Cricetulus griseus: one gene and its partners. The protein of the gene in region 1 binds, or shares a complex with, the protein of each later gene. Links are inferred from orthologs where the notes say so. Each region holds a gene or a part of one and is shown on either strand. Other genes may lie near its edges.

Evidence for each region.
Region 2: Snrpd3 (region 1) and Dhx16 share a complex: the UniProt entries of both Homo sapiens proteins name them as parts of the minor spliceosome. The link is inferred for Cricetulus griseus from reciprocal best matches to the Homo sapiens genes SNRPD3 and DHX16.
Region 3: Snrpd3 (region 1) and Snrpb share a complex: the UniProt entries of both Homo sapiens proteins name them as parts of the U7 snRNP complex. The link is inferred for Cricetulus griseus from reciprocal best matches to the Homo sapiens genes SNRPD3 and SNRPB.
Region 4: Snrpd3 (region 1) and Prpf8 share a complex: the UniProt entries of both Homo sapiens proteins name them as parts of the U4/U6-U5 tri-snRNP complex. The link is inferred for Cricetulus griseus from reciprocal best matches to the Homo sapiens genes SNRPD3 and PRPF8.
Region 5: Snrpd3 (region 1) and Prpf4 share a complex: the UniProt entries of both Homo sapiens proteins name them as parts of the U4/U6-U5 tri-snRNP complex. The link is inferred for Cricetulus griseus from reciprocal best matches to the Homo sapiens genes SNRPD3 and PRPF4.
Region 6: Snrpd3 (region 1) and Snw1 share a complex: the UniProt entries of both Homo sapiens proteins name them as parts of the minor spliceosome. The link is inferred for Cricetulus griseus from reciprocal best matches to the Homo sapiens genes SNRPD3 and SNW1.
Region 7: Snrpd3 (region 1) and Strap share a complex: the UniProt entries of both Homo sapiens proteins name them as parts of the SMN-Sm complex. The link is inferred for Cricetulus griseus from reciprocal best matches to the Homo sapiens genes SNRPD3 and STRAP.

Annotation. Positions count from the first base shown.
Region 1 is NW_023276806.1:263,063,240-263,067,897, reverse strand, and holds the start of Snrpd3 (small nuclear ribonucleoprotein Sm D3), read left to right. Parts: upstream 1-1,719; 5' UTR 1,720-1,873; intron 1,874-3,110; 5' UTR 3,111-3,126; coding exon 3,127-3,252; intron 3,253-4,658. Other genes in the region: protein GUCD1, read right to left, coding at 843-885. UniProt on the Homo sapiens protein: Plays a role in pre-mRNA splicing as a core component of the spliceosomal U1, U2, U4 and U5 small nuclear ribonucleoproteins (snRNPs), the building blocks of the spliceosome.
Region 2 is NW_023276806.1:229,786,877-229,790,967, forward strand, and holds part of Dhx16 (pre-mRNA-splicing factor ATP-dependent RNA helicase DHX16), read left to right. Parts: intron 1-332; coding exon 333-587; intron 588-699; coding exon 700-903; intron 904-1,021; coding exon 1,022-1,216; intron 1,217-2,327; coding exon 2,328-2,438; intron 2,439-2,538; coding exon 2,539-2,654; intron 2,655-4,091. UniProt on the Homo sapiens protein: Required for pre-mRNA splicing as a component of the spliceosome. Contributes to pre-mRNA splicing after spliceosome formation and prior to the first transesterification reaction.
Region 3 is NC_048599.1:48,439,450-48,443,610, forward strand, and holds the start of Snrpb (small nuclear ribonucleoprotein-associated proteins B and B'), read left to right. Parts: upstream 1-1,361; 5' UTR 1,362-1,508; coding exon 1,509-1,511; intron 1,512-3,592; coding exon 3,593-3,744; intron 3,745-4,161. UniProt on the Homo sapiens protein: Plays a role in pre-mRNA splicing as a core component of the spliceosomal U1, U2, U4 and U5 small nuclear ribonucleoproteins (snRNPs), the building blocks of the spliceosome.
Region 4 is NC_048600.1:88,942,830-88,946,920, forward strand, and holds part of Prpf8 (pre-mRNA-processing-splicing factor 8), read left to right. Parts: intron 1-84; coding exon 85-281; intron 282-528; coding exon 529-735; intron 736-843; coding exon 844-1,007; intron 1,008-1,123; coding exon 1,124-1,250; intron 1,251-1,357; coding exon 1,358-1,550; intron 1,551-1,971; coding exon 1,972-2,159; intron 2,160-2,326; coding exon 2,327-2,565; intron 2,566-2,758; coding exon 2,759-2,905; intron 2,906-3,082; coding exon 3,083-3,293; intron 3,294-3,880; coding exon 3,881-3,997; intron 3,998-4,091. UniProt on the Homo sapiens protein: Plays a role in pre-mRNA splicing as core component of precatalytic, catalytic and postcatalytic spliceosomal complexes, both of the predominant U2-type spliceosome and the minor U12-type spliceosome.
Region 5 is NC_048595.1:83,456,618-83,460,708, reverse strand, and holds part of Prpf4 (U4/U6 small nuclear ribonucleoprotein Prp4), read left to right. Parts: intron 1-943; coding exon 944-1,130; intron 1,131-3,378; coding exon 3,379-3,466; intron 3,467-4,003; coding exon 4,004-4,083; intron 4,084-4,091. UniProt on the Homo sapiens protein: Plays a role in pre-mRNA splicing as component of the U4/U6-U5 tri-snRNP complex that is involved in spliceosome assembly, and as component of the precatalytic spliceosome (spliceosome B complex).
Region 6 is NC_048598.1:116,338,783-116,342,873, forward strand, and holds part of Snw1 (SNW domain-containing protein 1), read left to right. Parts: intron 1-1,827; coding exon 1,828-1,923; intron 1,924-2,012; coding exon 2,013-2,119; intron 2,120-3,355; coding exon 3,356-3,460; intron 3,461-4,091. UniProt on the Homo sapiens protein: Involved in pre-mRNA splicing as component of the spliceosome. As a component of the minor spliceosome, involved in the splicing of U12-type introns in pre-mRNAs.
Region 7 is NC_048601.1:11,282,029-11,286,119, forward strand, and holds part of Strap (serine-threonine kinase receptor-associated protein), read right to left. Parts: intron 3,934-4,091; coding exon 3,797-3,933; intron 1,852-3,796; coding exon 1,702-1,851; intron 1,141-1,701; coding exon 1,075-1,140; intron 1-1,074. UniProt on the Homo sapiens protein: The SMN complex catalyzes the assembly of small nuclear ribonucleoproteins (snRNPs), the building blocks of the spliceosome, and thereby plays an important role in the splicing of cellular pre-mRNAs.

The DNA of each region.
Region 1 (4,658 bases):
ATCTATAAACACTTTACCACTGTATCTACCTCTTAGCTCGACACAAGTGAGCCATTATTTGCTGAGGCTAAGAAAGGGCAACGATCTTATCAAAGTTCACAGTTAGATAACTGGAGGAGTAAAAATGTAAATCCCAGGGTAGGTCCAAGCCCTGCTCCAGCCTACCACCAGAAGGAACCATTCCCCGAAAGTGGTGTTACTCTCCAATTGACACTTAAGGAAGGGCTCAGGCCCCAAACCCCTTGACCCTTCCCATGAGATAGCAGCACGCCACAACAGCTTATTAATATATCAACTCTTGTGCCCCAAGCAGAGCTCCACCATGACTTCCAACTTTCCCCACTTCTTGAGCAAGCAAAGGGGTTCGGGTTTCCTCGGGGCGGAGGGAACCAGAGAGAGAAGAGTACTAAGACAAAAGCGCTGCGTTTGGGAAGCCAGATTAAAAAAAAAAAAAAAAAAAAAAAAAAAAGGCCCTTCCCTTTGCTGAGGGATCTCAGGCCGTTCTTTCCCCCTTCACAGCCCCAGGCCTTCCACAGTTCCCCCTAGGAACAGCATCACGCAACGGGGTTCAAGCAGGACCATTCGTTTCTGGGGAAGGCAGTGCCTTTGCCCCCTCGGACTTTTGCACTTGACTGCTCTCAGAACTCCCCGAGAAACAACCAGAAGCGGAGGACGGGAGACGAGAAGGAATATCCATCCACCTAGCTAAGGTCCACTGGAAGCTCCAGTCTGGGCTGAGGCCGCCTGCGGCCCAAGGTCGCGCGGCCAGACCCTGCCCAGCTCCAGGGCGGAGTCCCCCTCGGTTTCCCCGGTGAGGGCAAGGCCCTCTGAGAGGCACTGACCGGGCTCGAGCGGCTGCCCCGCTGCCTCTGCCTCCGTCCTCATGACCCGGGTGGCGCAGGGCGCCCATGGCCCCGGCCTGGAGCTGATCGCAGCTGCGACTTGTGCTGGGCAGCGAGCGCGGCCAGTGTGGGGAGAGTTCCGCCGCCGCCTCTCCTCCTCCTCCTCCTCCTCCTCCCGCCGCCGCCGCCACCGCCGCCCGCCGCCGCCGCCGCCTCCGCGGTTCAGAGCCGGGTGGGCGGGGGCTAGGCCGCCTCAAGCCCCGCCTCGTCCCTGCCAGGTCCCCGGCCTGGAGACCCGCCCCTCCCCTAGGCCACGCCTCCTCGCCCACCCACTTCTCTCCCATAAAGAGCGACCCGCAGGGCCCGCCTTCTGCGGAAGCCCCGCCCCTCCCGGGCCCCGCCCCCAGGCCCTTCCATAGCGACGTTGGCTCCTCCCAAACCCCCTCCGCTCGGCTTGCTCCTTTGCAGCCCCGGGTGTTAGCGCCGGCCCCTCGCAGTGCCTGCCTCATCGAAACGCCCCGGGAATCCTCCTCTGCCTCCCTTTCGGTCTTAGCCACACGATGAAAAATGCCAGTTTCCCACGCTCGGTGCGCCGCTTACCTGATGGCGACCAGATCCAAAGCTTAGATTCCTAGTCCAAGCCTCACTTCCTGTGGCACCACAGCAATTTTGGGGCTCCAGCCTAGCTCCCGCCCAATCCGTCCCTGGAGTACTTTGTAAGTGGGGGGGGGGTCTCCATGTTCCTTTTGGGGCTCGAGGACGGATGCTTCCGGCGGCCCCCCGGGTCCTCTCCAGGGCCGGAACGATAATGCCAGAGCCGTCGTTTTCCGAGCCGGCGGAGTTAAGGAGGAAGCATACGTCAGAGCGCTCTCGCCGCTGGGGAAAGGAAGAGGAGGGGCCCTGCGCGCGGTATCCTGGGAACGCGTGGTATTCTGGGTACCCCGGGCCCGCCATTCCCTCGCTTCACGCCTTCGCCGTGTAACGTTTGTGCCAGGGCCGAAAGGGAGCCGGTGAGGAGAGGCGGAGAACCGGTAAGAGGAGGCCTAGGCGTCCCCGGAGGGTTAGGGGCAGGAAGGGAGCCTGCGGAGGAGCTCAGCGGGGCACTAATGGCGGGCGGGAAGCCTGGGCCGATCCAAACACCGTCTCACCCGCGCTTGGAGCAGCTCCTCGTTTACGCCTGTCTGCGCGTTCTGTGCCTTTCCGGCTCGCCGATTTTCGGAGCTCGCCCGCAGTCGTTTCTCACGAAATACCCCCTTTCCCTGTGTGCCCTCCTTTTCAGCGTCCTCTGCATCCCTGCTCCCCTCGGATTCCGGCGCTGGCCCTCCCCTGCCTTCCACGACTGCTGCACGAGTCTTAGCGAGTCGCTGTGCTGCAGAAGGGCCATGTTCGAGCTATCCTGCAGATGCTGCTATTATTCCTTTTTGTTTTCTACTGAGCCTTTGGCAATGACCCTTTTGTGTCCCCCCCCCTCCACCGTTTTCAGCATAAAACTCACACTCCTTAAGTTGAAAGCCGTGGTTCCTCACCAAGAGAGACAGCGCCCAGCATCCTTATAGCCTTCTCATGGACATAGGTGGGAACGCTCATCACAGTTGCGCTTAGCCTCCGTCTTTTACTGAGGCTTAAATCGAGCGTCGACCCTGATGGTGCTCCTGTGAGCATTTCCTGTCACTTTGTGAACGCCTTGCTATCTTATCAGGGTCTATGTCTGCTGAGCACTTGGAATATTACTAGTGTGACTGGGAGGGGAGGGGCTTTTTAATTTATATTTCAGTTGAATAGCTACAGGTAAGCAGTGATTGCTTTTGAGGTCCATATCATAGTTCTTGGGTGACTATAAAGGGTCATGTGTTTGGGAATAGATAAGAGGCACTCTTCATTCCCACCAGCCTCTTCTGTCCAGCTTGCTTGCCATCCTTCCCAGCTCGAAGGCAGTGTGTCCTTGCCATGGTGGTTCCTTCAAACCAAGAGTCAGACTCCTTCCACAGAAAATGCAGCTTAGGCCGGGCGGTGGTGGTGGCTCACACCTTTAATCCCAGCACTCGTGAGGCAGAGGCAGGCGGATCTCTGTGAGTTTGAGGCCATCCTGGTCTACAAGAGCTAGTTCCAGGACAGCCTCCAAAGCCATAGAGAAACGCTGTCTCAGAATAAAAAAAAAAAAAGAAAGAAAGAAAGAAAGAAAATGCAGCTCTGACATATTTGCAAAGGGTATGGTATGCCAGTCCTTCTTAAGCTCTGAAAGACAGCTGTTGTCTCTCTCTTCCACAGGAACACTCCTGCCAAGATGTCTATCGGTGTGCCGATTAAAGTCTTGCACGAGGCTGAGGGCCACATCGTAACTTGTGAGACCAACACTGGCGAGGTGTATCGAGGGAAGCTCATTGAAGCAGAGGACAACATGAACTGCCAGGTACCTTGCTTTGCACCTGTGAAGGAACTGTGGGTGAAAGGTAATATCTCTGACTGCTCCAGGTCTAATACACATACCTTGGAGTTGTCATAGAGAGTTCAGATGGCTGTGTGTTCACAGTGGCCAGCTCAGTGCTTTGCGTGCAATAACTGGTGCCTGTTAACTGTATTCCACATGAGAAAAGTAAAGGTTGGAGAGGGAAAGTACATTATTTAGAATCACACCTGTGGGTCAGGTGGCCTGACTATTGCCTTTTAGGGTTTGCATTAGTTATTTCCTGTGGCTGTGATAACACACCATTAGAAGGGGTTTTTTTAGGCTTGCAATTACAAAGGAATGAGTCCATCGTGGAGGGGAGAAATGGTAATAGCAGGACGCTGAGTGCTTACATCTTCAATAGAAAGCTTGAAGTAATGAGAGCTACCTGGAAGTGTTGGAGGGTATTAATCTGAAAGCCTGCCTCCAGTGACATTCTTCCTTCAGCAAGGCTGCATCCCCTCATCCCACCCCCCCCAAAACAACCCACCAACACATGGGGGCCAAGTGTGCAAATGCCTGCAACTGTGGAGGATACTTTTCATTTAAACTACTGTAATTGTGCTGCTTAGTTTTTTTGTCAACTTGGTGCAAGTGAGAGTCACCTTAGAAAGGGGAACCTCAGTTGTGAAAATGCCTATCCTATAGGCAATTCTGTGGGGCATTTACTTGATTAGTGATTGATGGGTAAGTGCCCAGCTTATTAAGGGCTAAGCCACTTCTAGGCAGTTGTTTCTGGAATAAGAAAGGAAGCTGAAGGCTGAGCATGGTGGTGCACACGTTTAATCCCAAGACTAGGAGGCAGGGGCAGGTGGATTTCTGAGTTCCAGGAGAGCCAGAACTGTTTCACAGAGAAGCCCTGTCTCGATAAACAAAACAAAAAAGATGTATTTGTCTGTTTTAGGGCATTTAGTTTTGGGAGTAGAATGAAAGAATTTGGATAGTGACTATTAATATATTTAGTATGCTGCTCTAATTAATGAAACTTACCGAGGTGGGCTTCAAACAGCCCAACTATAACAGGAATTTGTCTGACTAGATTATGGTATTCTCAGAAGTGCAGCCCATGTGATGCAAAGACACAAATCTTAGTACATTATCAGGTTAAATCTTGGAAAGCAGTGTGTCTTGTGTGTGAGCTTTGTGCTGCCCTTGCCCCCTGTTCCCTCCAGAATCGGTGATAACAGATGAATGCTCACTTTGATTTACTTTAGAGTGTGTAAACTGAGGTACTGGGAATTAGGACTTCATTGTGTCCTAATTTTTGCAGGGACATAATTTAGCCCATAATACTGCCCACATCAAGATGATGAGTCTTCATTAGGTTGACCCAGAGCCTAAGCACATTGCATAAAGATCAGTAGGCTGTG
Region 2 (4,091 bases), about 33 Mb from region 1:
ATCTGGTGCCCTCTTTCTGGCCTGCAGGGACACATGCAGGCAGAACACTGCATACATAATAAATGTCGACAAAAGAAAGATTGATGGAGCGGTTGGCCATGGCGGGAAGGGCTGGGGAGAGAGTGTGGTGACTGTGGGGTGGTTGCTCAGTCCGTAGCGCAGGGGGGGGCTGACTGACAGGAACCACCAGGAAAAGTTACAAACCCTCCTGACTCCGGGGGGTCGAGTCACAGCTCGGCTTCTGCTGTCCCGTAGGCAGCCAGCATCTCTCGAGTGGGGAACTGTGTTGCTTCCCTGGTAGGGTGAGGTTGTGACTGTCCTTCCTGGCCCAGGTCCCCGAGCTTCGCAAGAAGTCTCGCCGCGAGTACCTGGCAAAGCGCGAGCGGGAGAAGCTGGAGGACCTGGAGGCAGAGCTGGCGGATGAGGAGGTCCTGTTTGGGGACGTGGAGCTGAGCCGGCACGAGCGCAGGGAGCTCAAGTACAAGCGTCGAGTGCGGGACCTGGCCCGGGAGTACCGGGCGGCCGGCGAGCAGGAGAAGCTGGAGGCCACCAACCGGTACCATATGCCCAAGGAGACTCGGGGACAGGTGAGGGGCGCCGCCTCCCCCTGCTCACGGGTGGGGCACAGCAGGCGGAGGGAGCGAGGGGACAGCTAGGACCACCCTTCGCCAGGCCCCGCAGCCTTGCCTCTCTCCGCAGCCAGCTCGAGCTGTGGACGTCGTGGAGGAGGAATCGGGCGCCCCAGGAGAGGAGCAGCGGCGCTGGGAGGAGGCCCGGCTAGGTGCTGCATCCCTCAAGTTCGGGGCCAGGGACGCCGCCGCCCAGGAGCCCAAGTACCAGCTGGTGCTGGAGGAGGACGAGACCATCGAGTTCGTCCGAGCCGCTCAGCTGCAGGGAGACGAGGTGTGTGCCAGCAAGAGTCTGGGACGTCTGTGGGGGGGGACGGGACGGGACGGACGGACACTCTGAAAAGGGCAGGGGCCCCATTCTCCATCCCCTTCCTCCTCCTCCTCCTCCTCAGGAGCCGTCGTCAGTTCCACCCCCATCAGCCCAGGCCCAGCAGAAGGAGTCCATCCAGGCTGTCCGCCGCAGCCTGCCCGTGTTCCCCTTCCGAGAGGAGCTCCTGGCCGCCATCGCCAGCCACCAAGTCCTCATCATCGAAGGCGAGACCGGCTCCGGGAAGACCACACAGATCCCGCAGTACCTCTTCGAGGAGGTCAGCCATCACACCGTGCCCGCTGCGGCCCGGACCTTGAGTCAGCCTTGGCAGACCCGTGTGTGTGGAGGGGTTGCAAGAGTCCTGTCCTGGCCTGTCTTGCCCTGTCCTGTCCTGTCCTGTCCTGTCCTGGTCTGGCCTGGCCTGGCCTGGCCTGGCCTGTCTTGCCCTGGTCTGGCCTGTCCTGTCCTGTCCTGTCTTGCCCTGGTCTGGCCTGGCCTGGCCTGGCCTGGCCTGTCCTGGTCTGGCCTGGCCTGGCCTGTCTTGCCCTGGTCTGGCCTGTCCTGTCCTGTCCTGTCTTGCCCTGTCCTGTCCTGTCCTGTCCTGTCCTGTCCTGTCCTATCCTGTCCTGTCCTGTCTTGCCCTGGTCTGGCCTGTCCTGTCCTGTCCTGTCCTGTCTTGCCCTGGTCTGGCCTGTCCTGTCGTGTCCTGTCTTGCCCTGGTCTGGCCTGGCCTGTCCTGTCCTGTCTTGCCCTGGTCTGGCCTGTCCTGTCCTGTCCTGTCTTGCCCTGTCCTGTCCTGTCCTGTCCTGTCCTGTCCTGTCTTGCCCTGGTCTGGCCTGGCCTGGCCTGTCCTGTCCTGTCCTGTCCTGTCCTGTCTTGCCCTGGTCTGGCCTGGCCTGGCCTGGCCTGTCCTGTCCGTCGCGCAAGTCCCGAGGCTTTTCAGACACAGTCAGATCAGGTTCCCTGCCGTTCTGTTCTCGATGCTGTCACACCGTGCCGGGTGTGAGTGAGGACGTACGGGTCTGCCCTGCAAGCAGCGAGAGATGAAGAGCATGAATCTGAACCTGACATGCTTCAGCCCCGTGTGACCTCTACCCTGCCTTCCCCTTTCAGGGGCGAGAGAACCAAGAATGAAAACGCTTGTTTTCCTTACTCTCTGACCTCCCGTCTCCCCTGGCTTCTGGCTGTTGCCCCAGCCAGTCTGTCCCTGGTCAGTTCAAGTCTGGCAGAGCCCTGACTGTAAGCGCAGGTCTGCAGGGCTGGCCCGGCGTCCCCTGGGGGCCCTCGTTTCTAATCTCAGTCTGTTCTTTTCCGTTCTCTTTTCCTGCCCTGCCTGGCTCGCCCCAGGATGCCTGGCAGAGGAACACCTCTCTCTCCTCTCTTTCTAGGGCTACACAAAGAAGGGTATGAAGATTGCTTGTACCCAGCCCCGAAGAGTGGCGGCCATGAGCGTGGCTGCCAGAGTGGCCCGGGAGATGGGTGTGAAGCTTGGGAATGAGGTAAGTTCTTTGGGGATTCAGGAGAGGGAAGCCTCTTTCACGGTCCCACATCTCAGGTCTGGGCGCTGGTCAATCTTACCTCCTACCTGTCTCTGGCCAGGTTGGCTACAGCATCCGCTTTGAGGACTGCACATCAGAGCGAACCGTTCTCCGCTACATGACGGATGGGATGCTGCTACGGGAGTTCCTCTCTGAACCCGACCTTGCAAGCTACAGGTACACGCGGGGGTGGGGTGGGGGTGGGGGGGGTGGATGCCACCACCTCACTCCTGCTGCCTATGCCCCTCAGAGACTCTTGTTTCCTTCAATCTCGTTCTTCCCACGGCCGACATACTCAACCCACCAGATCTCTTTAGTGTTTTGAGACACGGTTTCATTCTACAGCCCAGGCAGGCCTGGGACTCACTATGTAACATGAGCTGGCCTCAGTCTTGTGGGTCTCAGCAACAGCCACCTGGCCAAGCGGTGTTTCCTTTAAGGCGTGCTCGAACTTCCGCTTCTTCTGGTGAGAATAGCTGTTCTGACTGACCCAGAGATACTGACAACGTGTTCCTGTCCTGGCTGCCGGACTTCCCTGCCCTGTTGGCTTTTTTACATTTGAAAAAAAAAAAAGTGTGTGTGTGTGTATGTGTGTATGTGTGTATGTATGTGTGTGTATGTGTGTGTATGTGTGTATGTATGTGTGTGTATGTGTGTGTGTGTATGTGTGTGTGTGTGTATGTGTATGTGTGTGTATGTGTGTATGTATGTGTGTGTATGTGTGTGTGTGTATGCCTGTGTGTGTGTGTATGCCTGTGTGTGTATATATGTATGTGTGTATGTATGTGTATATGTATGTGTGTATATGTGAGTGTGTGTGTGTGCGTATTTATGTATGTATATGTGTGTATCGATGTGTGTGTATATATGTATGTGTGTATGTATGCATGTATGTGTATATATGTATGCATGTGTGTATATGTGTGTATGTATGTGAGTGTGTGTGTGTGTGTGTATTTATGAATGTATATGTGTGTATGTATGTGTGTGTATATATGTATGTGTGTATGTATGTGTATATGTATGCATGTGAGTATGTGTATATATGTGTGTATATGTGAGTGTGTGTGTATATGTATGTGTGTGTGTATTTATGAATGTATATGTGTATGGATGTGTGTGTATATATGTATGTGTGTATGTATGCATGTATGTGTATATATGTATGCATGCGTGTATATGTGTGTATGTATGTGAGTCTGTGTGTGTGTGTGTGTGTGTGTGTGTGTATGGATGTGAGTGTGTGTGTGTGTGTGTGTGTGTGTGTGTATTTATGTATGTATATGTGTGTATCGGTGTATGTATGCATGTATGTGTATATATGTATGCATGTGTGTATATGTGTGTATGTATGTGAGTGTGTGTGTGTGTGTATTTATGTATGTATATGTGTGTATCGATGTGTGTGTATATATGTATGTGTATATGTATGCATGTGAGTATGTGTATATATGTGTGTATGTGTGTGTGTGTGTGTGTGTGTGTGTGTGTGTGTGTGTGTGTGCCATGTAGGGGCTCAGGAGGCAGCTTGCAGGAATCAGTTCTATCCTTTCACCATGTAGGTTCCAGGGGTCAGACTCAGGTCCTCAGGCTTGGTGGCCAGCGCCTTTACTG
Region 3 (4,161 bases), on another chromosome or scaffold:
AAAAACCAAAAAACAAAAACAAGGTTAGAGGAATAAATTACAAACTCCTGGGCATATAAACAACAGTTAGAAGTCACTGAGCAGAATAAGATTAATTCATTCAGCAAATAATTATTGAGCCTTTATGCTAAGCAGTGATCTAAGCAAATAAAACACTATACTCTAGTGGAGCTTACATTCTAATGGGGTAATAAAATAACTTAAGAATATAGACAGTAATCATCTCTTATCCCAGTCTATAGGTCTGAAAATATTAAATGGAAAATTCTAGAACTAAGCATTTAATGTTCTAAGTCATGCACCATTGTGACTAGCATGAGGAAATACCATATTTTTGCCCTAACCACAAATCTTCCCTTTGTGTAGGTTTCCACACTGCATACGCTACCCTCTCGGTAGCTAGAGGGATCATCAGATCAACTGACCTGCGTTGCAGTGTTTGTGTTCAGGTGGTCCTTGTTTTGTTAATAGTCCTAAAGCACTTAATTAGTGATGCCGGCAATTCAAAGGTACCCAAATATGCTTTCTTTAAGTGGAAAAGCACAAGTTCACTGAAGTATACATATGTAGAAAAAATACAGCATATTCAGGGTTTGGTACTGTGACTCGGAGAAGGTACTGGGAGTCTTGGAAGGTAACCCCTCCAACAATGAGGGGACTACCGCTTAGCATGTCAGATAGCAATCAATATTAAAGACAAAAAATGGGAAGGACTCGTTTCTTATCTATCTATCTATCTATCTATCTATCTATCTATCTATCTATCTATCTATCTACCTACCTACCTATCTATAAAGAGAAAGGACGATCAGGGAAGTCCTCACCAGGACAGTGTTATTTCAGTCTAAACATGAAGAGGAAAGGGCGAGACAAAAGCAAATGCAAAGGTACAGATGAAAGAACATTTCAAGCCTTAGGGGAAAATCAGTAAGAGTGAGTTCTGTGAGTGAGTTCACGAGAGCGCTGGGTTCAAGAACTGGAGTAGGGGAGGGGTTCCGGGGAGAGAAACACGCCACCCTCGCGGAGACTAAGTTGGGAAGGTGTGTGTCCAACGAGGATCCAATGCTTTCAAGGGCGTTCAGTTTGATGTTTATTACCAAATATGATGGTGTACGCCCGCGTCGGTACTAAGGATGCTATAGGTAGGAGGATCGGAGCTTAAGACCAGCCTGGGCGACACAGTCTCTAAAACAAAACAAAACGAGAGGGAGAGCTCGATAAAATTAAAACGAAGAAAAAAAAAAAAAACCAAAACCACACACACCAAAAAAATCAAAACAAAAACAAAACCCCAAACAAACCGGCCGCAGTCAACACCTTTCCACGCCCTAAACTGCTACCAGGGCCCGGAACTCCGGGGCGGAGGCCGAGCCGGAAGTAGCCTCACGAGGGGCGGCACTTTGCGGGCTGCATTTCCGTTAGCGGCGGCGGGAATCGCGCTGCTGGCTGGCGACTAGGCCTCTGTGGAAGCGAATCCGGCGGGCATCTGAGACATCGGAGCCGCCACCATGGTAAGAAGGCGCGGGCTGGCCGCGGGGCGCTCAGGGGTGCGGAGTGGGGCGGTGGCTGGCGGCGGCCGTGGGTTGAAGCCGCCCGTGGCCGACAAGGTCGGGGTCGAAGCCGCTTAATCCGGGCGCCAAAGGCCTGGACTTGCGGAGCGGCTGGGCCCGGGTGGAGGGGAAGGCTGCACCGGGGACCGAGGCCGCCGTGCGTGGCCCGGCGCCTCTGCGGTTACAGTTCCGCGGCCTCGGTAGCTGGAAACGTGTGCCGGGTCGCTGTGTGCCCGGGCTCCCGGAGCGGACGCGAGCCTCCGGCCGACCGGGGGACACCGGGCCGGACGGAGGAGAGGCGGAGGGAGCGGGAGGGTGGAGGAGAGTGTTTGCATGCAGAGCGCGACCCTGCTACGCGTATTTTTATGTTGGGGTATGTCAGGCGCTGGGGCTGCACCCTGAAATAAGTTGTGCGTTGGTTCAGTTTCTGGCTCTGTGCAGGGCTAATGTGATTCTCTATGGCAGTTCGGCTTTAGGCAAAAAAGTAACGGCAGGGGGAGGGGCGGGACGGGTCCAGAGCAGACGCCCAAGTGATTGTTTAGGAGCGCCCCGCTCCCCTGTACGAGGGAGGGTTAGAAATCTGGAGAACCGAGAGGGCCCAGTAGAAGGCAACGAATTGTCAGGAACCTGGTTGCTGAAGTCCCTGCATCTTGTTTTCCCTCTTGGTAGTAAGACATCGCTGGAAGAGTTTTCACAGGCTTCATGGACTTAGGTTTAGAAAGGTCAGCCGGGAAAAGTGGCCAGTGCTCGAAATTTGTAATTTCTGTGCATAGTAGGCAGAGGAGCTTGAATTTTGAAGCCAGTTTTGGCTACAGAGCAAATGTAACAAATGCCTCGAATGTCTCCAAAAATATTAGTCTAGTTAAGTAGCTGAAGAAACCCGAGGTAGCGAAAATAGGTTATTGTTTTTGAGAGTTGACTGAGACAAGTCCTTACTTAACCTTCAGCTTGGGTCGTCTATTTGGTCAGTAAAAAGGAATGACAGTGGACCCAGTTTTGAGGATTAAAGGAGATAAATCCTTTTCAAGGGCCTAGCCATACATAGCTATTAAATATTAGCTATTGGACCGATATACGCCGATCCTAGTAACAGAGCTCTTTGAGATGATTATTTAAGCAGAAAAAAATACAAAATCTGGTTTTCAGGTTAGGGCTGGGTAATGCTCACAGGGGTGAACAGCGTTCCTGGTACAGAGAAGACAACTTGGGTAGTTAAAAGTGACATAATGCCAGTTATAGTTGTGGGTAACTGATACGTTTCTGAGAGAGACTACCACAGATACCTCTGTTCACCTAGGGGTGTGTATAAGCGCCTTTATTTTTGCAAAGTTACATTGGGAACCAGGATAGAGAATGTTGTTTGCCTTAATTAAAAATTAGACTATTATATTATATATATATATTAGACTATTAAGTATCCAAACTAATTAGCACTCTGGCCCAGAAAAGTTGCCCAAGTTACCCTACTCCTGTTCTTGCTTCAGAGCTGGTTTCACTTTCTGGTAATAAGCTTTTCCTTAATTAAGTGAATCCACTTAGTGCCTGTTGAATTCCAGTTCTTAGTTTAGATGGATTTAGTTGTTCGTAGAACTGAGTCTATATAGTGGTGGATGGCTTAATGCCCACTAGGTCTAGTATGGGTGGATTTGATTAGTTTGTGAACACTTTAACTCTCCTGAGACAGATACAACATAGACAAAGTTGTAGTCCCAGGGAGATTGCCTGTTTTAAGGGCAGGGAAAATAGCACATTAATGGGCAGAAATCAAGGCTAAAGCTGGTTGATAAGAGTCTCAGAAAAGGACCTTGTTTGGAAGATGTCAGGAAATTGTTGAGAAGGTTGGGAATAGAAAAGTAGGCTGTGGTGGAAGATGGGGGCGGGGAGCAGAAGTGTGTGAGCGAGTCCTCCCTGCTCCCTCTTTGCAGACTGTGGGTAAGAGCAGAAGTGTGTGAGTGAGTCCTCCCTGCTCCCTCCTTGCAGACTGTGGGTAAGAGCAGAAGTGTGTGAGTGAGTCCTCACTGCTCCCTGCTCTCTCCTTGCAGACTGTGGGTAAGAGCAGCAAGATGCTGCAGCACATTGACTACAGGATGAGGTGCATCCTGCAAGATGGCCGGATCTTCATCGGGACCTTCAAAGCTTTTGACAAGCATATGAATTTGATCCTCTGTGACTGTGATGAATTCAGGAAGATCAAGTAAGGAGAGGGCTGTTGGGAGGGAGAAGGAACTGGGATGGACTGGATGGATGGGCGGGCCAAGAGTGGGATGGCCATTCAGCTAGGTGCTCTTGTTTGCTCACTTGCTTTTGAAGGGAGAAACTTAAAGGGGAATGTTAGCTGCTAAGGAATCTCTTCCTTAATCCAGAAAACCTTGCTCTCCAATTCTAGCAAAGTAGAAGTTGGTGAGGAGGGCTGCTAGGCTTTTAATTTTTCTGAGTTTGCATGCCCCTGGGTACTGGGGTAAAGGGCTCTCATGTTCTCCCCACAGGTGTGTGAGGGGGGAGAGCTTGATTTTCTGGCCTCATTACCTATTTGTAAAGCTGTAGCCTAAAGGGCTCTCCTATTGCAGCCTGGTCTGAAACTGCTTTAAGAAGCCTCTGACCCTCTTCAGGG
Region 4 (4,091 bases), on another chromosome or scaffold:
GCTTGTCTTTTTGCATGTGTGGAACATATGGTCACTTTGTTACTATTTATTGATGTAATCTATGGGCTGTCTCTTCACTTCCAGGCCGTCACTCAAAGGGGGTAGCAAAGACAGTAACAAAGCAAAGAGTGGAGTCCCATTTTGACCTTGAGCTTAGGGCAGCTGTGATGCACGATATTCTGGACATGATGCCTGAAGGCATCAAACAGAATAAGGCCCGAACAATTCTGCAGCACCTCAGTGAAGCCTGGCGCTGCTGGAAGGCCAACATTCCCTGGAAGGTAGGCTTTCCTCTGCCTCCAAGAAGACATAGCCATTCATCTTCCTGAGGTTAGGATTAGAGTACCTTTAGAGGGCCTTCCACCTTCTATTACCCCAACCCCTCCTTTCTTGAGGTGGTTTCACTGTGTTGTCCTGGCTGACCTGTAACTCTGCAGGCCAGGGTGCTCTCAAATTCAAGAGATCTGTCTGCCTTTATGCTGGGACATGGGCGTGAAACTTACTTTTTCATTGTGTTTGTATTTTCAGGTCCCAGGCCTGCCAACACCTATAGAGAATATGATTCTTCGGTATGTTAAGGCCAAGGCTGATTGGTGGACCAATACTGCTCACTACAACCGTGAACGAATCCGCCGTGGGGCCACTGTAGACAAGACTGTTTGCAAAAAGAACCTGGGCCGCCTCACCCGCCTGTACCTGAAGGCAGAACAGGAACGGCAGCACAATTACCTGAAGGTTGGACCAGCTGGGCTGGGTGGTAAAGTGGGTTGCAGAGTGGAGATCATGCTTTGTATTGGTTTGGATGATAGTGGGAGACTAGCTTCATTCATGTTCACCTTGCAGGATGGGCCTTACATTACAGCAGAAGAAGCAGTGGCTGTGTATACTACCACTGTGCATTGGTTGGAAAGCCGTAGATTCTCTCCCATCCCATTCCCTCCACTCTCCTACAAGCATGACACCAAGTTGCTCATCCTAGCTCTGGAACGCCTCAAGGAAGCTTATAGGTAAGGAATGACTGGGAGGGTAATAGGGAATGGCATTGTGGCCCGAGTCCAAAGAAAGGTGTAGTCCTTTTGCAACTTCTTGGGTTTTCTCATTCACCTTTCCTTTGCTTTGTTAGTGTGAAGTCTAGGTTAAACCAGTCTCAGAGGGAAGAGCTGGGTCTGATCGAGCAAGCCTATGACAACCCCCATGAGGCTTTGTCCCGCATCAAGCGTCACCTCCTCACGCAGAGAGCCTTTAAGGAAGTGAGTGATGCTCCCTGAGCCTTTTGGTCTGTGCTATTTATCCTTGGCATCTAGAGGATGCCAGGCTGGCTGGTGAATTGATGTGAACCAGGTTTCTTGTCCCACAGGTAGGCATTGAGTTTATGGATCTCTATAGCCACCTGGTGCCAGTGTATGACGTGGAGCCCCTGGAGAAAATAACTGATGCCTACCTGGACCAATACCTGTGGTATGAAGCAGATAAGCGCCGTCTTTTCCCACCCTGGATCAAGCCTGCCGACACGGAGCCGCCTCCACTGCTCGTTTACAAGTGGTGCCAAGGTAAACTTCGCTGCAGTTCCCACCCAGCAGAGAAAGGTGATTCTGTCCATGTAAAAACTCTGACCCAGGCTGCACATTCAGTTTGCTCTCTTTGCGTGGTAAGAATGAGTGCTATTGCCTGGCACTGGTGGCACACACCTACAATCCCAGCTTACAGGAGGCTGAGGCAGGCAGATTGATGAGATCAAGGCCAGCCTGGTCTACAAAGCAAGTTCCAGGACAGCCAGAGCTATACAGAGAAACCCTGTCTTGAGAGGGGGAAAAATGAATAGTGTGGATGTTGAGCAAAACTGACACTTGTAGCAGCCAGAATGAATGAATGGTAGAGGGTTTTGGAATGTGTTGAGACTGCTATAGTTAGTTACTAAACCTGGAAAGGAATTTCTAATCTGCTAAACTCTTGTCTTTTTGCTTCTTTTAGGCATCAATAACCTGCAGGATGTGTGGGAGACCAGTGAGGGCGAGTGCAATGTCATGTTGGAGTCCCGCTTTGAGAAGATGTATGAAAAGATTGACTTGACCCTGCTTAATAGGCTGCTGCGACTCATTGTGGACCACAACATAGCTGACTACATGACAGCCAAGAACAATGTTGTCATTAACTATAAGGTCTGTCTTGGAGCAAGTAGCAAAATGTGTCAGGGGGTTTGTCTGACCCATCGAGTTAGGATTTGCTGAGGCAGAGTGAAGGAGATTGGACCCTGAAGCACCTGGGACAGAGCCAGTCTTAGCCATACTAAGAGTTGTGCGTTTTTGTTTTTGTTTTTTTTTCCTAGGACATGAACCATACAAACTCATATGGGATCATCAGAGGCCTGCAGTTTGCCTCTTTCATTGTACAGTACTATGGCTTGGTGATGGATTTGCTTGTATTGGGATTGCACCGGGCCAGTGAGATGGCTGGGCCTCCTCAGATGCCAAACGACTTTCTCAGTTTCCAGGACATAGCCACTGAGGCTGCTCACCCAATCCGACTCTTCTGTAGATACATTGATCGCATTCATATTTTCTTCAGGTAAAGAACATGGTCTGATCCTTTAACCTGCATGTCCTCACAGCACTGAGGCATGTCCTGCCTGTGAAATGGCTCTTGTAGCTTAGTTGACTAGTTGCTGAGTTGAAGCTATGAAGTGAAATGAAGTCTAGAGTAGCATAGGGTCCCCACTTGTGGAGCTGGCATTCTCAAAGTGTCCCCTGTCTTAATGTAGGTTCACAGCAGATGAAGCTCGGGATCTGATCCAGCGTTACCTGACGGAGCATCCAGACCCCAATAATGAAAACATTGTTGGCTACAATAACAAGAAATGCTGGCCCCGAGATGCCCGAATGCGCCTCATGAAGCATGATGTCAACTTGTGAGTCTCAGTTGGGCTTGTAGGAGTAGAAAGAATGCCAGTCCTAGGGACCCAGAAAGCAATTAAAATTGAGGAGGTTATATCTTGGGTAGGAGGAATATGGGCCTATCTTCTGTCTGGTCTATGAATGCAAGTGTCTTCAACAGACTGAAATTCTTATTTGTTCTCTGTGGACAGGGGTCGGGCAGTGTTCTGGGACATCAAAAACCGGCTGCCACGATCAGTGACTACAGTACAATGGGAGAATAGCTTTGTGTCTGTGTACAGTAAAGACAACCCCAACCTGCTGTTCAACATGTGTGGCTTTGAGTGCCGCATCCTGCCTAAGTGCCGTACCAGCTATGAAGAATTCACCCACAAGGATGGGGTCTGGAACCTTCAGAATGAGGTACAGTCTAGGAAGGACATCACTTTACCACCCTTGTAACTCTGGCATCAATGGGGTGAAAAACAGTCACACCTTTTCATTATCAGCTCAGTGACCCTTAGGTGGGTTGAGCTTAGTAGTGATCACGATTAATCCTTGCTTGTGTAGCCCTGGCTGGAATTTACTTTGTAGACCAGACTGGCCCTGATTGTCTCAGAGATCAGCCTGCCTCTGGCTCCACCTCCCACAGGTTAGGATTAAGGCATGTGCCACCATTCCCTGCTATTCCCTTTTTATTTTTTCTTTGAGACAGGTCTTACTGTTCAGTGATGGCTGACCTGGAATTTTATATAGACCAGATTGGCCATGAATTCACCAAGATCCTCCCTGGAATCTGCATTCTGGGATTAAATGCATGCATACCATGTTAGCTTTTCATCTTATTTATTGCCTTGTTATTTTTGTGGAGTTTGGAGGACAGCTTGTAGTTAGTTCCACTCTGTGGGTTCTGGGGATTGAACTCAGGAAATAGGGCTTGGTAGCAAGCACGTTTGCCTGCTATAAACCATGTCATCAGCCCATCTAGAGCCTCTGATTTTGTGGTTTAGGTTACCAAGGAGCGGACAGCGCAATGTTTCCTGCGTGTGGACGATGAGTCGATGCAACGCTTCCATAACCGAGTTCGTCAGATTCTAATGGCCTCTGGCTCCACCACCTTTACCAAGGTATGTTGGGCCCTAAGGCTCCAATTCTCTGCCATTCTCTGTCTGTCTTTGTCCTTTTCAACTCCTGCTGTGGTTTGAGGTTGCTCTTTCCCAG
Region 5 (4,091 bases), on another chromosome or scaffold:
AAAGAATTAAATCTTGCCTGAATATTTAATATTGCAAGACATGGAGCATTTTAAATGTTTTTCATGGTACATTCATTCATTCATTCATTCATTCATTTATTTATTTAAATCAGCAACTCAGATAGTGAGTTTTTTTTTGTTGTTGGCCCTTCCTTTCTTTCTGACAAGGTCTGTATGGCCCATGTTGTCCTGAAAGTCACTGTGTAGCCAAGTCTGACATTGATCTCCTGGTCTTCTTGCCTCCTCCCATGTGCAGATATTATAGGCATGCACTGCCACACTGAGCTCTTCACCATCCTTCTTTTCTGTTTTGGCCAAGCAACAATTTTAAATAATCAAACATTTTAATACAGTATAAGTGAGAGATAAAACTATTTGATACTTGATGCTGAGGAAATTAAATCTTTTTTTTCCCGTAGCTGAATCATGTCTCTATAAAAGCAAACTTTGTAAAAATGTGGAAATTTGGCCAGGCTCACACCTTTAATCCCAGCACTCAGGCGGATCTCTGTGAATTCGAAGCCAGTCTAGTCTACAAAGTGAGTTTCAGGACAGCCAAGGCTACACAGAGAAACCCTGTCTCAAAAAAGCCAAAAAAGGGATATTACAATTCATAACAGGCTTTTGAGGTAGTGTTCCTTAGTGTCGCATGGCATGACAGACTGTAAGTACATTGCAGAGTTGCACATGCTCAAAACCAAGGTTGCAGCAAAGATTCATGATGAGGCCCACAGGCCCTGCCAAAAGCAACCCTGATTTGTTTTGAATTTGATTTTGGATTAATTGTTGGTCACTGCATCTTCAGAAACCCTTCAATATTGCTGAATTCTTCAACAGCCCCACAGTTACATACCTTATGGCACTCTATCCAATATAAGAAGCTATATTCTAGGATACAGAGACTGATTGTTTCTTTCCCCCATGTTGCCTGTCCTTTGCATAGGGGAAGTATTTGAAATTGAGGAGCACATCAGTGAGCGGCAGGCAGAAGTCTTGGCAGAGTTTGAAAGAAGAAAGAGAGCCCGGCAAATCAATGTTTCCACGGATGACTCAGAGGTCAAGGCTTGCCTTCGAGCCTTGGGAGAACCTATCACACTTTTTGGAGAAGGCCCTGCTGAACGAAGAGAAAGGTATCCTTTATAGTTACACTTTTTTTGTTAATGACAAGGTTCTGGTATGTGTTCTATCAAACCCTTTCCTGCTCTCCTGTGAAGTTTGTTTGAAATGCTGGGGGTTTGTTGTTTTCTAAGATGTATTTTTGATTATGTAAATCCGTGTGCATCTGTGTGTAGTATTGTGCACATGAGTTCTGGTACCCTGGGAGTCCAGAAGAGGGTGTCATCCCCTGGAGCTAGAGTTAGAGGCACTTGTGAGCTGCCTGGTGTGGATTCTGGGAACTGAACTTGGGTCCTCTGGAAGAGCAGGAAGCATTCTTTAAAGGATACGTTTTAAAATCCTATTTATTTGTGTGTGTGTGGACATGTACATGCCTTCATACAGGAGTGGAGGTCACAGAACAACTTGTGAGAGTTGGTTCTCTCTCACTATGTGTCACAGTGTTCTGTCTCAAGTCAGCAGGCTTGGCAGTAGGCATTTTACCTGCTGATCCACCTCACCAGCCTGACTCGGTATATTTAATTTACTGTTTGTCTCTTTCATCTGCCATGTCTGTTGTCCTTTATCAAGATGAATGCCTTGAGTCCCAACTGCCACTACTTTAACTCAGGCCACCTCAGTGGCTTGGGCTTGCTGTGATCCTAAAGTCTGGTTTTCTGCCTTTATTCTTCTTCTCCTGCCTGTTGCCATGGCACTCTCACTCTCCCACCTGTTGCCATGACACTCTCACTCTCCCACCTGTTGCCATATCACTCTCATTGCAGACCCTCCTATGTGTAGTGTGAATTGCTCTGGTGACCCAGCCCCCACTTGAATACCAGTTTTGGCAGTCACCAAGCCTCCTCCTGTATCCCATATTCCAGCTCTACTGAACCATTTGTGGGTCTAAGCTCAGTCTGTTTTCCTGACTTTACATTTCTTTAACCCTCTGCCTCAACTGTCATTTTTCTGTTTTGACTCTTTGGCCTGAATGAGCACTTGACAACGCCTTTTCTGTAAAGCCTTCCCTGATACCTGCTCCACACTCCTCCCAAGCCTAGATTCCATACTTCTTCCATATTATTTCACATTCTGCTCACTGCTGTCTAATGCTGGTATAATGGACTGTGTTCTGTAGTCTCTTCAGAATTATTCTTTAGTTTTAGTTTTGTTATTGTTGTTTTCAGTCAGGGACTCACTATATAGCCTTGGCTGGCTGGAGCTCACCACCACACCTGGCTTTTAATTTTTATTTTATTGAAACAGGATCTCAACCTGTGGCACTGACTGGCCTGGAACTCACTTTGTAGACCAGGCTAGCCTAGAACTCAGGACAAGCCACCTACCTCTACCTCCAAATGCTGGGGTTAAAGGTGTGTGCCTTCAAGGCTAGTTCCTTCAGAATTATTTTTCCCCACCTGTTCTTCAAGACAAGATTGTTCTATCTAGCCCTAGCTGTCCTAGAACTCACTCTATAGACCACACTGGCCTGGAACTCAGAGATCCACCTGCCTCTGCCTCTCGAGTGCATCACCATGCACAGCTTGCAACTATTCTTAGTCATTAAATATACTTAGCCCCTGAATTAGTGCCTTGCTCAGCATGGCACTAAGTGGATTCCAGCTGTCCTTAGAGACTAAGTGACAGCTGTGTATAGATACCAGTTGACTCTAAATGGAAGAGAATAATTGCTGATAGCAGCATTTAGAAAGCCTTCAAATAAAGAGGAGTGGAGGGGGTCTGAGAGGGAAGAATAAAGGGTACACAGCCTTCCCCTTTGCTTGTGGTCTTGCTTTTTTCCTTGGTTTCTCTCATCCATAATCATATGAGGCCCCGAAATACTGACTAGGCAAATGCCAGAAGTAAACACTTGATGAATTTTAAATTGCACACCATTCTGAGTGATGTACTGAAATCCCACACCATCCAGCTGTGTCCCTTTGTCTTCTGTGTCCTTGCTGTCTATGCTGCCTTTCCATTAGTGTGCAGTAGAATAAGATATTTTGAGAGTGAGAAAGAAAACAGACCCTGTTCATATAATTTTAAAAATCTGGTTTTTTGTTACTAGCATTTTACCTTGCCTAATTTATGAATTAAACTTTATCATAATATGTGAGCTGGGAAAGACACACAGTATAGGTAAGGTTCATTGCTCCCTGCAGTTGTAGGCATTCTTGTGCAGGGATCTTGACACATCTCTCTCACAAGTGGTGATGGGGTCCTACTGAACCTTTTAACAGTCTTATTTCATCCATATTGATTTCTGACGTTTTTTTGTTACAGGTTAAGAAATATTCTCTCAGTGGTTGGAACTGATGCCTTAAAAAAGACAAAAAAAGATGATGAGAAATCTAAGAAGTCAAAAGAAGAGGTAAAATGTGAAGAAATTGGAGACTAGCTCTTTCCAGTGCCATGCTGTGCTAGGATGAGGAGAGGTATCTAGAGGTTCTGCCATTCTGGAATGGTTGATGGCAGGAATTGGTAATTCTTAAACAACTGTGAATGGTGCTGTAAATTCTCCATTCAAGAAGGCACTCAATGTGACTCAGTAAGAAACCAGAAACTAGTAAGACATCAAAGAAAAAAGTAGGGGCTGCAGAGATTGCTCTGCCCTTAAGAGTGTGCACTGCTCTTCAAGAGTCCAGCAGCCCACCACTGCTAAGCAATCTGATGCCATCTTCTGGCCTCCATGGCGTCTTCGTGCATATGTACATACCCCCACATAGACACATAACACATAGTTAAATAAATGTTTTTAAAGAAAACAAAAGGTAATTAATAGAAAGGACATGTGGCTGCTTCATTCTGTTACAATTCACTTTCTTTGTGAGCAATTACAATTAAGAACAGCCGTGGGGAGAGTCTGTGTGCTTCAGACCTAACATTTCTCCTGTTATTTCCTATTCAGTATCAGCAAACCTGGTACCATGAAGGGCCAAATAGCCTAAAGGTGGCCAGACTGTGGATTGCTAATTATTCACTCCCCAGGTAAGCAG
Region 6 (4,091 bases), on another chromosome or scaffold:
GGAAATTCAGAACAGTTTACATCCTCTTTCACCTGTTTTAAGAGCCTGCTATGGTAGGTTTTGATTTTAGCTTTTAGTAAATAAGTTGGCTTCTGAAGAAAAAAAATTGAAGATCATAGGCACCAGGAATTTTGTTTCCTATTCATAAGTTGCATAAATTGCCCTTTTTTAAAAGATTTGCTTTTATTGTTTAGGTATTGTTACAGTGAGGGGGAACAGGATCTCTCCCTTAGGTAGCCCTTACAGGCATGAACTCCCAGTGTAGACCAAGCTGGCCTTAGACTCACAGAGATTTGTGCCTCCCAAGTGCTGAGGTTTAAAGGCATGTGCCACCACGCCCAACTTTGTTTTCATTTTATGCATATAAAATGTGTTTGCCTGTATATATATTATGTGTATATGAGGGACGCATGTGCCTGGTGCCCTTGAAGGCCAGAAGAAAAAAAAAATAATAGAATAAAAATAAAAAATAATAGAAGAAAGTGTTAGATCCCCTGGAACCAAAGTTACAGACTGTCGAGCCACCTCGTGGGTTCTGGGAACTGAACCATGGTCCTTTGTAAGAACAGAAAATGTTTTTAACTGCTGAGCCATCTCTCCTGCCCCATAAGTTGTTCTTGGTATGTATGTGTGCCAAAGAATTTCTAATAAAAGTATTAAAATCTAAACTATTGGTTAAAATTTCTAGTATCGTTTTTTTTTTTTTTTCTTTAAAGTCTGCCATGTACATTTTAATGGAGGTACTTGGGAAGTATAGATAGCAGGCAAGTAAATGATCTGTTTCAAAAGCGCATTACACCAGCATCAGCCTAAAAGGTAAAAGGAAGGTGTTGGTCCTGATGCAATTTACGTATTGGGGTGATTAATTTTGATTGTCAATTTGCTACAACCTGAATCACTGGGAAGGGAGCTTCAGTTGAGTACTTGTCTAAATTAGGTTGGCCTGTGGGCATGTCTGTAAGGGATTGTCTTGATGACTGATAAAAGAAGACAGCCCATTGTCGGCACCACTATCCCTTAGGCAGATGGGTTCCCCACTATGTGAGTCAGGCGAAAACTAAATGAGAGCAAGCGGCAGAGTCATTGATTTCTCCCTGCACTTGACTGGATATAATGTGACTAGACGCTTGAGTTCCTGCCTTGACGTCTCTCAATAATAGACTCTAACTTGGAATTATAAGCCAAATAAACCCTTTCCTCCCTGATTTTCTTTTGGTTAGGCTATAACAGACAGAAATGAAACTAGAACACATATATAAATATATTTTTGTTTTTTCTGACTCTTGTAGAAGAAAATATTCTGGGTTTTTTCTTTTTGTTCATTTTCACTTTCCTAATTTGTGAATAGAATTGATTCCAGAAAACAGAAACATTATAAATAGGATGAGGGCAATGGAATTTTCTAGGCCCAGTGAATTTGGAAATTATTTAGTAACCGGACTTAAATTTCTGATGAGTTTTTAATCCAGGATAATGGTGCTATAGGCAATTTATATCATCATTAATTTCAAGTCCTAGTGAGCCTCAAAAATAGAGATCACTGATGCATAAGATTTTGTTGGCAGAATGTATTTGGATACTGACTTGATTAGAAGATTTCAAATAATTTAAATGCATGGGGTCAAGGGAAAGTGATCATCTTGGAGCCAGGGCAGCAATTTGTGTACATATTTTAAGCTCCTTTAGTTTTAAAATCTGAACGACAAAACTGAGTATCCTAAATGCGTAAATATGCTGAAAGGACATGTTGACATGTACAGCGACTTAATGAGGCTGCTTCCCTCCACCCTGTGTGTTCCTAAGCTGCTTGTGTTTGAACACTTTTAGGTCATTTACAGCAAGTACACTGACCTGGTTCCAAAGGAGGTTATGAATGCAGATGATCCAGACCTGCAAAGGCCTGATGAAGAGGCTATTAAAGAGGTAACTAGGGGTTGGTGTATGTGATTATTTTAGATGACTTTGTGTCCTTATTAATTTCCAACTGCTCACCGTGCTGCTTCTCATCTCAGATAACAGAGAAGACAAGAGTAGCCTTGGAGAAGTCTGTGTCGCAGAAGGTTGCTGCAGCCATGCCTGTTCGTGCAGCTGACAAGCTGGCTCCTGCTCAGTATATCCGGTATGCACCCTGCTGGAAGTGTTAGTTGCATGTCAGACTCCCTAGGTGGGATTTTGAAGACTCACCAGCTTACAAAGCCAGTTCAAATGCATTGTCTTAATGACCTTTGAAGCCTATCAACTCTAGTTTGCAAAAGGCTTTTTTTGTGTGTTTGTTTTTAATTTTCAGGTTTATTTATTTAGTGTAGAGTGCTCTGTTTGCATGTATGCCTACAGGACAGGAAAGGGAATCAGACACAAGGTGACATTGAATTCCATAAAAATGGTCCTGAGCCACCATGTGGGTGCTGGGAACTCAGGACCTCCCAAACCACTGAGCCATCTCTCAGTCCCCAGAAGTTTTTTTTTTAATCCCTACATTAAGATGTTAACGGTCCCAGCACTCGGGAGGCAGGCCTCGAACTCACAGAGATCAACCTGCCTCTGCCTTCTGAGTGCTGGGACTAAAGGCCTGCTCTACCACCGCCTTGATTTTCAGTTTTTTAGAAAATAATTGTTACCTATGGTATATGACCCAAACGACAATTGTTTATAGTTTTTGATTATATTTAATAAACTTTTATAATGCTGCTAAATGTTGAGGGCCTTTACTGGACTGTCTTTGTGAAGAATGATTGGAACTAGATGTTAAGGGAAAATTTTGAGTTAGGGCTGCTGCTGCAGTTTTTACAGCATACATTGCATGTTGCCAGTGGGCATACTATTGTAACTATTTTCCTTTCTTTAAAAAACTTTTACTCATTTATTTATTGTTATTATATATGTATGTATGTTTTGCCTGCATGCCCAGTGCCCAACGAGGCCAGAGGAAGAGTTGCAGGAACTGAAGTTGCAGGCAGTGGTGAGCAGCCATGTGGGTTCTGGGAATTGAACTTTGGAAGAGCAGCCAGTGCTCTTAACTGCTGAGCCATCTCTCAGCCCTGGCAATTTTATTCTATAATGTAGACTTAAAAGCAGGTGTTAGTTTTAGACCTGGGGAAGCTGGACAGGTGTATTTCCCAGGTGGAATGTGGAAAGGATGAAGAGGGAAGTCAATAACCACTTAAGTGCATATTTTGTTTGATTTCACTTCTGTTTCTTTTCTGGTCTGCTTCTGACTGCCCTGCCTAAATGTATGGTGATTTTATGTCAGTACTTCCTGAAAAGAATTGAAAGTATAGTCATGTGGAACTATAATAGAAGATAAATGCCTACCAAAAGCTTGAACTAATTACACCTTTAATTTTCATCTATTTAGCTACACACCATCTCAGCAAGGAGTAGCATTCAACTCTGGAGCTAAACAGAGGGTTATTCGGATGGTAGAAATGCAGAAAGATCCAATGGAGCCGCCAAGATTCAAGTAAGTATGGCTTCATGAGTGTCTTAATTGAGGTTTTTTGTTTGTTTGTTTGTTTTTGTTTTTTGAGACAGGGTTTTTCTGTGTAGCTTTGTAGATGAGGCGGACCTCGAACTCTCAGGGGTCTGCCTGTCTCTGCCTCCCGATGCTGGGATTAAAGGCATGTGCCACCACCGCCCGGCTTAATTGAGGTTTCTATTGCTATGATGAAACATCATGACCAAAAAGCAAGTTGGATAGGAAAGGATTTATTCGACTTACACTTTAGCATTGCTGTTTATCACTGAAGGAAGTCAGGACAGGACAGGAACTCAAAACAGGCCAGGATCCCTGAAGCAGGAGCTGATGCAGAGGGCTATGGAGGGGCGATGTTTACTGGCTTGCTTCCCATGTCTTGCTAAGCCCGCCTATAGAACCCAGGGCCAACAGCCCAGGGATAACATCATGGGCTGAGCCCTTCCCCATTGATCACTAAGTGAGAAAATGTCTTACACCTGGATCCCAAGGAGGCATTTCCTCAACTGAGGCTCCTTCCTCTATGATTCTGGCTTATGTCAAGTTGACACACAAAACCACCCAGTACAATGAGGATCAACAAAAGATCCCACATGTTCGTTAGTAGGTGAATACGTAA
Region 7 (4,091 bases), on another chromosome or scaffold:
CATGGCTTATCAACTGGACTCAGGACACCAAATACCCGAGCAGAGCTCAGACATACTCATCTACTGTCTTCACACCACAGTCGGAACCCCATCCCTGTCCTTTCAGAAGCTTCGAATGACACCAACTACCCAATCAGCATTAACTAAAATCACGCCTTGCCAGTCCTGTCTTTTCCTTTAGTAATTAAATGTTAGTACTTAAGACAATGCAATTCAAAACCATAAACATTAAATGCTTTTGGAGAGAAGTGTTCTAATAGCATGGGGGGGGGGAGGATATGGAAGCACCACAGAGTCTGTGGGGAACACTCTGTTTCTCACTGTCCCAAGTCACTACACCTAAGACCCATCTTCCAATCTAACCATTGCCCATCCATTTTGCCAATCCTCCCAGTAAGGTCAAGTTCACCTACCTTCTTTTGTCCTGCACCTGTCCCATGGCTACAAAGCTGGACTTTCAATGTCCCTACTCTAATTCTTTCTCCACACTACTATTTTCTAAATTTATATTCCTCCACTTAAAATCAAAGGTTTTTCATTCTCCCAGTTTATAAAACACTCACAATTGTAAGAGAGCAAATAAGATACTGGATGGTCCAGTTTCCTCCCATCTCATTTGTAAGAGAGCAAATAAGACACTGGATGGTCTAGTTTCCTCCCATCTCATTTGTCCCCTACTCCTCAAACACAGTGAGATTCTTCACCCTGCTTCTCTACCTTGGTATTTCTGTTTTCTGATCAATTCTTCTACCCTTCATCAATACCACGTCCTCCTTAAAACCTCACCTGTCCATCCATGGTCTCAACTAGTATAATTGTTAATGCAATTATAAACTAAGTAATTTGTTAAGATATCACCTGTCTCCTAAGTTTATGAGAGTTACCCATCGGTCATGCACACAGGGTACACGAGACCTCGGACTCTGTAATTAATGCTTAGGCACTTGTGTGTAAGCTTCCTACAATTTAATTCAAATCTGTTCACACTTAATTACTTTGCCACTGACCAAAACACACATACACTTAATTTTTACAACCGGAGAACTCTTAGAAAAAAGTGAAATTTGTATTTACCCAGCTCCTCTTCTGTTGTTTCTGGAAAACCGATCTTTGGCTTTGCCAGTTCAGCACTGTCTTCTTCTGTGAAGAGAAAAGCAGTGACGACTGACTAGGAAGCACAACAGGGTTGGTTCCTCGAACTCACATAGGGCAATTCCTCTTTTAAAACTCACACAGGGCAATTCCTCTTTTAAAAGTTACTGTGATTCCAAAACAGACATCTCAGAGTCACTTTCAAGTACTACAGCCACACTGGGATTAGTAGTAAGTGTTTGAATTTTTGTTTCTGGGATGAAAAACATGTTTTCAGTGGGAAGGATCAAGTAATTTAATACTAAAAGGGAACTGGATAGATACTTGTAAATTCTTCATACTGTCTTCTAACAATTGTTATTCTATTTTTGTGTGTATCTGAGCCAGTAACCACTGGGCTATCTCCCTAGTCTCTTTGTAATAAATTATGAGTTAAGTTCATTCAATTCATCACATAAAGGAGATTGCTCAATTAGAACATGGCTTCACTATGCTTATACCACATTACATAATTCAAAATCTAAGGGAAACAAGGCAGAATGAAGCAGAATTTAAAAATGACACAAATCTATGCATTATAATTTGATAACTTTGACTAAACGTCCTTACCAGGAAGCACGCATTTCCAAAGGCCATAGGTTTTTCCTACCACAGTTTGCCACAATCTCAATGTCCCATCTTCAGAACCACTGGCATAGAGCTCACCATCAGGACTGAATCTCACACAGTGAATGGGACCAAAGTGACCTTTGTAGGACTCTGAAAAAGGTAGGAACAGAGCTATCAGATCTCAACAGAAAGCTAATTACTAGGCTAAGTATTGATTTACTAAAAGAGCACTGTCTATGTTCCTGGGAGACCATCTCACCACTTCCTTAGAATTAGCCCTTTCCAATCAGTATGTCAGAGACTGACTGTCTTTGAAAACAGAATAAGGTTTCCACTCCCAGAGAGAATTGAGGAGCTGTCAATAAGGACTAAGGTCTGCAGAGACTGGAGCTGAAGTCTGCCAACTCCATCCTGGGTTCTAGGTCCTGAATTCATCAATTGTTTTTAGAGGAACCAATTTCTTCCATGCCTGGTGAGAGCCACCAGGTGGAGCTCTTTTACATACTCTATCTTAACTCCCTAACCAGGCTTTCTAATTCTAATATAAGCCTGAGACACAGACTCAATCCTGACCCCTACATTTATTTTAATGTAAGAAATTTTATGAGAAAATGTATAGGTTGGGAAGGTTTCCTATCTCAATAAAACACTTTCGAACATCTCCCATATATAAACTAATGCCCCATCATTTTACTCTGGCATTTCCTCCATCTCAGACTAGCCAGAGATTAAAAGCGTGTAAAAACATAGGGGCTTAGGTAGAATACTTTCTATCATACACATAGAATACTTTCAATCCTCAGCCTGAGCTCCACCCAACCCAACCCAACCCCCCCAAACTGCCAAAATAAACCAAAGTTGTTTGAACAGAGACTGAGAAGAGAATGGCTGGGTCCAAAATGCACAGCTGTCCATTTCTTCCTCCACTTAGCACAGCCTGGGTTTCATTGCTGCCAGCCGAGTACCTCCTCCACCCCAACCCAGCCACAGCTCTCTAGAGCTGAGAAAAATGGAACATGTGACTGAAATATTCCAAAACTGACTAAAGCAACCCCAATCTACCAGTTTCCCCCAAGAAACAAACAAAGCTACTTCCTGTTCTTTATGTACAAATCTAGACAGCTTAGTTCTTCAGTGGAAACCAGAATAGTTTAATAAAGATAAGTGGCAGTTTATAAACAAAAAATAAGATTTTCAAACAAAAAGCAAATTAGACTTGGTAAATAGGCATAAAAGTCAGTACTAAAAAATCTTGCTCTTTCAAACTATCTGGCATACTATTACATACATTATAAAGTTAGGAAGTATTTCTTCAAATTAACATACATCAACCATTCTACTTCTTAAGAACTATTATGGCCAGCGGCAGTGGCACATGCCTTTAATCCCAGCACTCGGGAGGCAGAGGGAGAAAGGCAGATCTCTGTGAGTTCAAGGCCATATAGAGTGAGTGCCAGGACAGGCTCCAAAGCTACAGAGAAAATCCTGTCTCAAAACAAAAACAAACAAACAAACAAAAAAAAACAAATATCCTTGTGCGTGTTTAATATTTGACTTAAAACAGATACTCCCTCTCCCAATAGTCTGGAAAAAAAAAAATCACTGTGCTATAGTACAGAACATCAGCACAAAGAACAGTCAAAACCGAGTTCGGTATATTTTGCCTGTGAGTCTATAAATTTCTACAAAAATGGAAAAAACACCTTCATTTTTGAATATATGAGTTTTAATTAGCTGTAAAACTTACTTTCAGCACACTATAGGTCAGTATCTGAGGTACTCATTACTAGAAGTTAATATTTTGATAAAGTAATCTTTTAAGACAATGGTTTTCAACCTTCCTAATGCTGCAACCCTGCAATACAGCTCATGCTGTGGTGACCCCCCAACCATAAAATTTATTTTTGTTGCTACTTCAAAACTCTAGTTTTGCTACAGTTATAAATTGGAAGAATCTGTTTTCTGATGTTCTTAGGCGATGCCTGTGAAAAGGCCATTTGACAAAACCAGGAGTTGGACCAAGGCATTGAGAACCACTGATTTAAGGGACAAAAAAAAAAAAAAAAAAAAAAAAAGGAAAGAAAAAAAGACTTACCTAATTCTTCTCCACTGTTATAATCATACTTATAGAGTTTAAAGTCTTCTCCACCTGCAACAAGAAATTCCTTCTCAGGATGAAGAGATGCGGAATTGATGGTTGCAGGAGCTTCAAATGATTTAATTGGCTCCAGACTGGGAAGAAAAACCACAGAAACATAAATGCCTACAAAAATTTTAATACTATATAAATATCTACCCACATTAAAATTATTCCTAAATTCTGAAATGCAAGGAATAGTAGTTAAATATTCATCAATCAAGTGTAAATGAAGTGTTAAAAAATCAACATG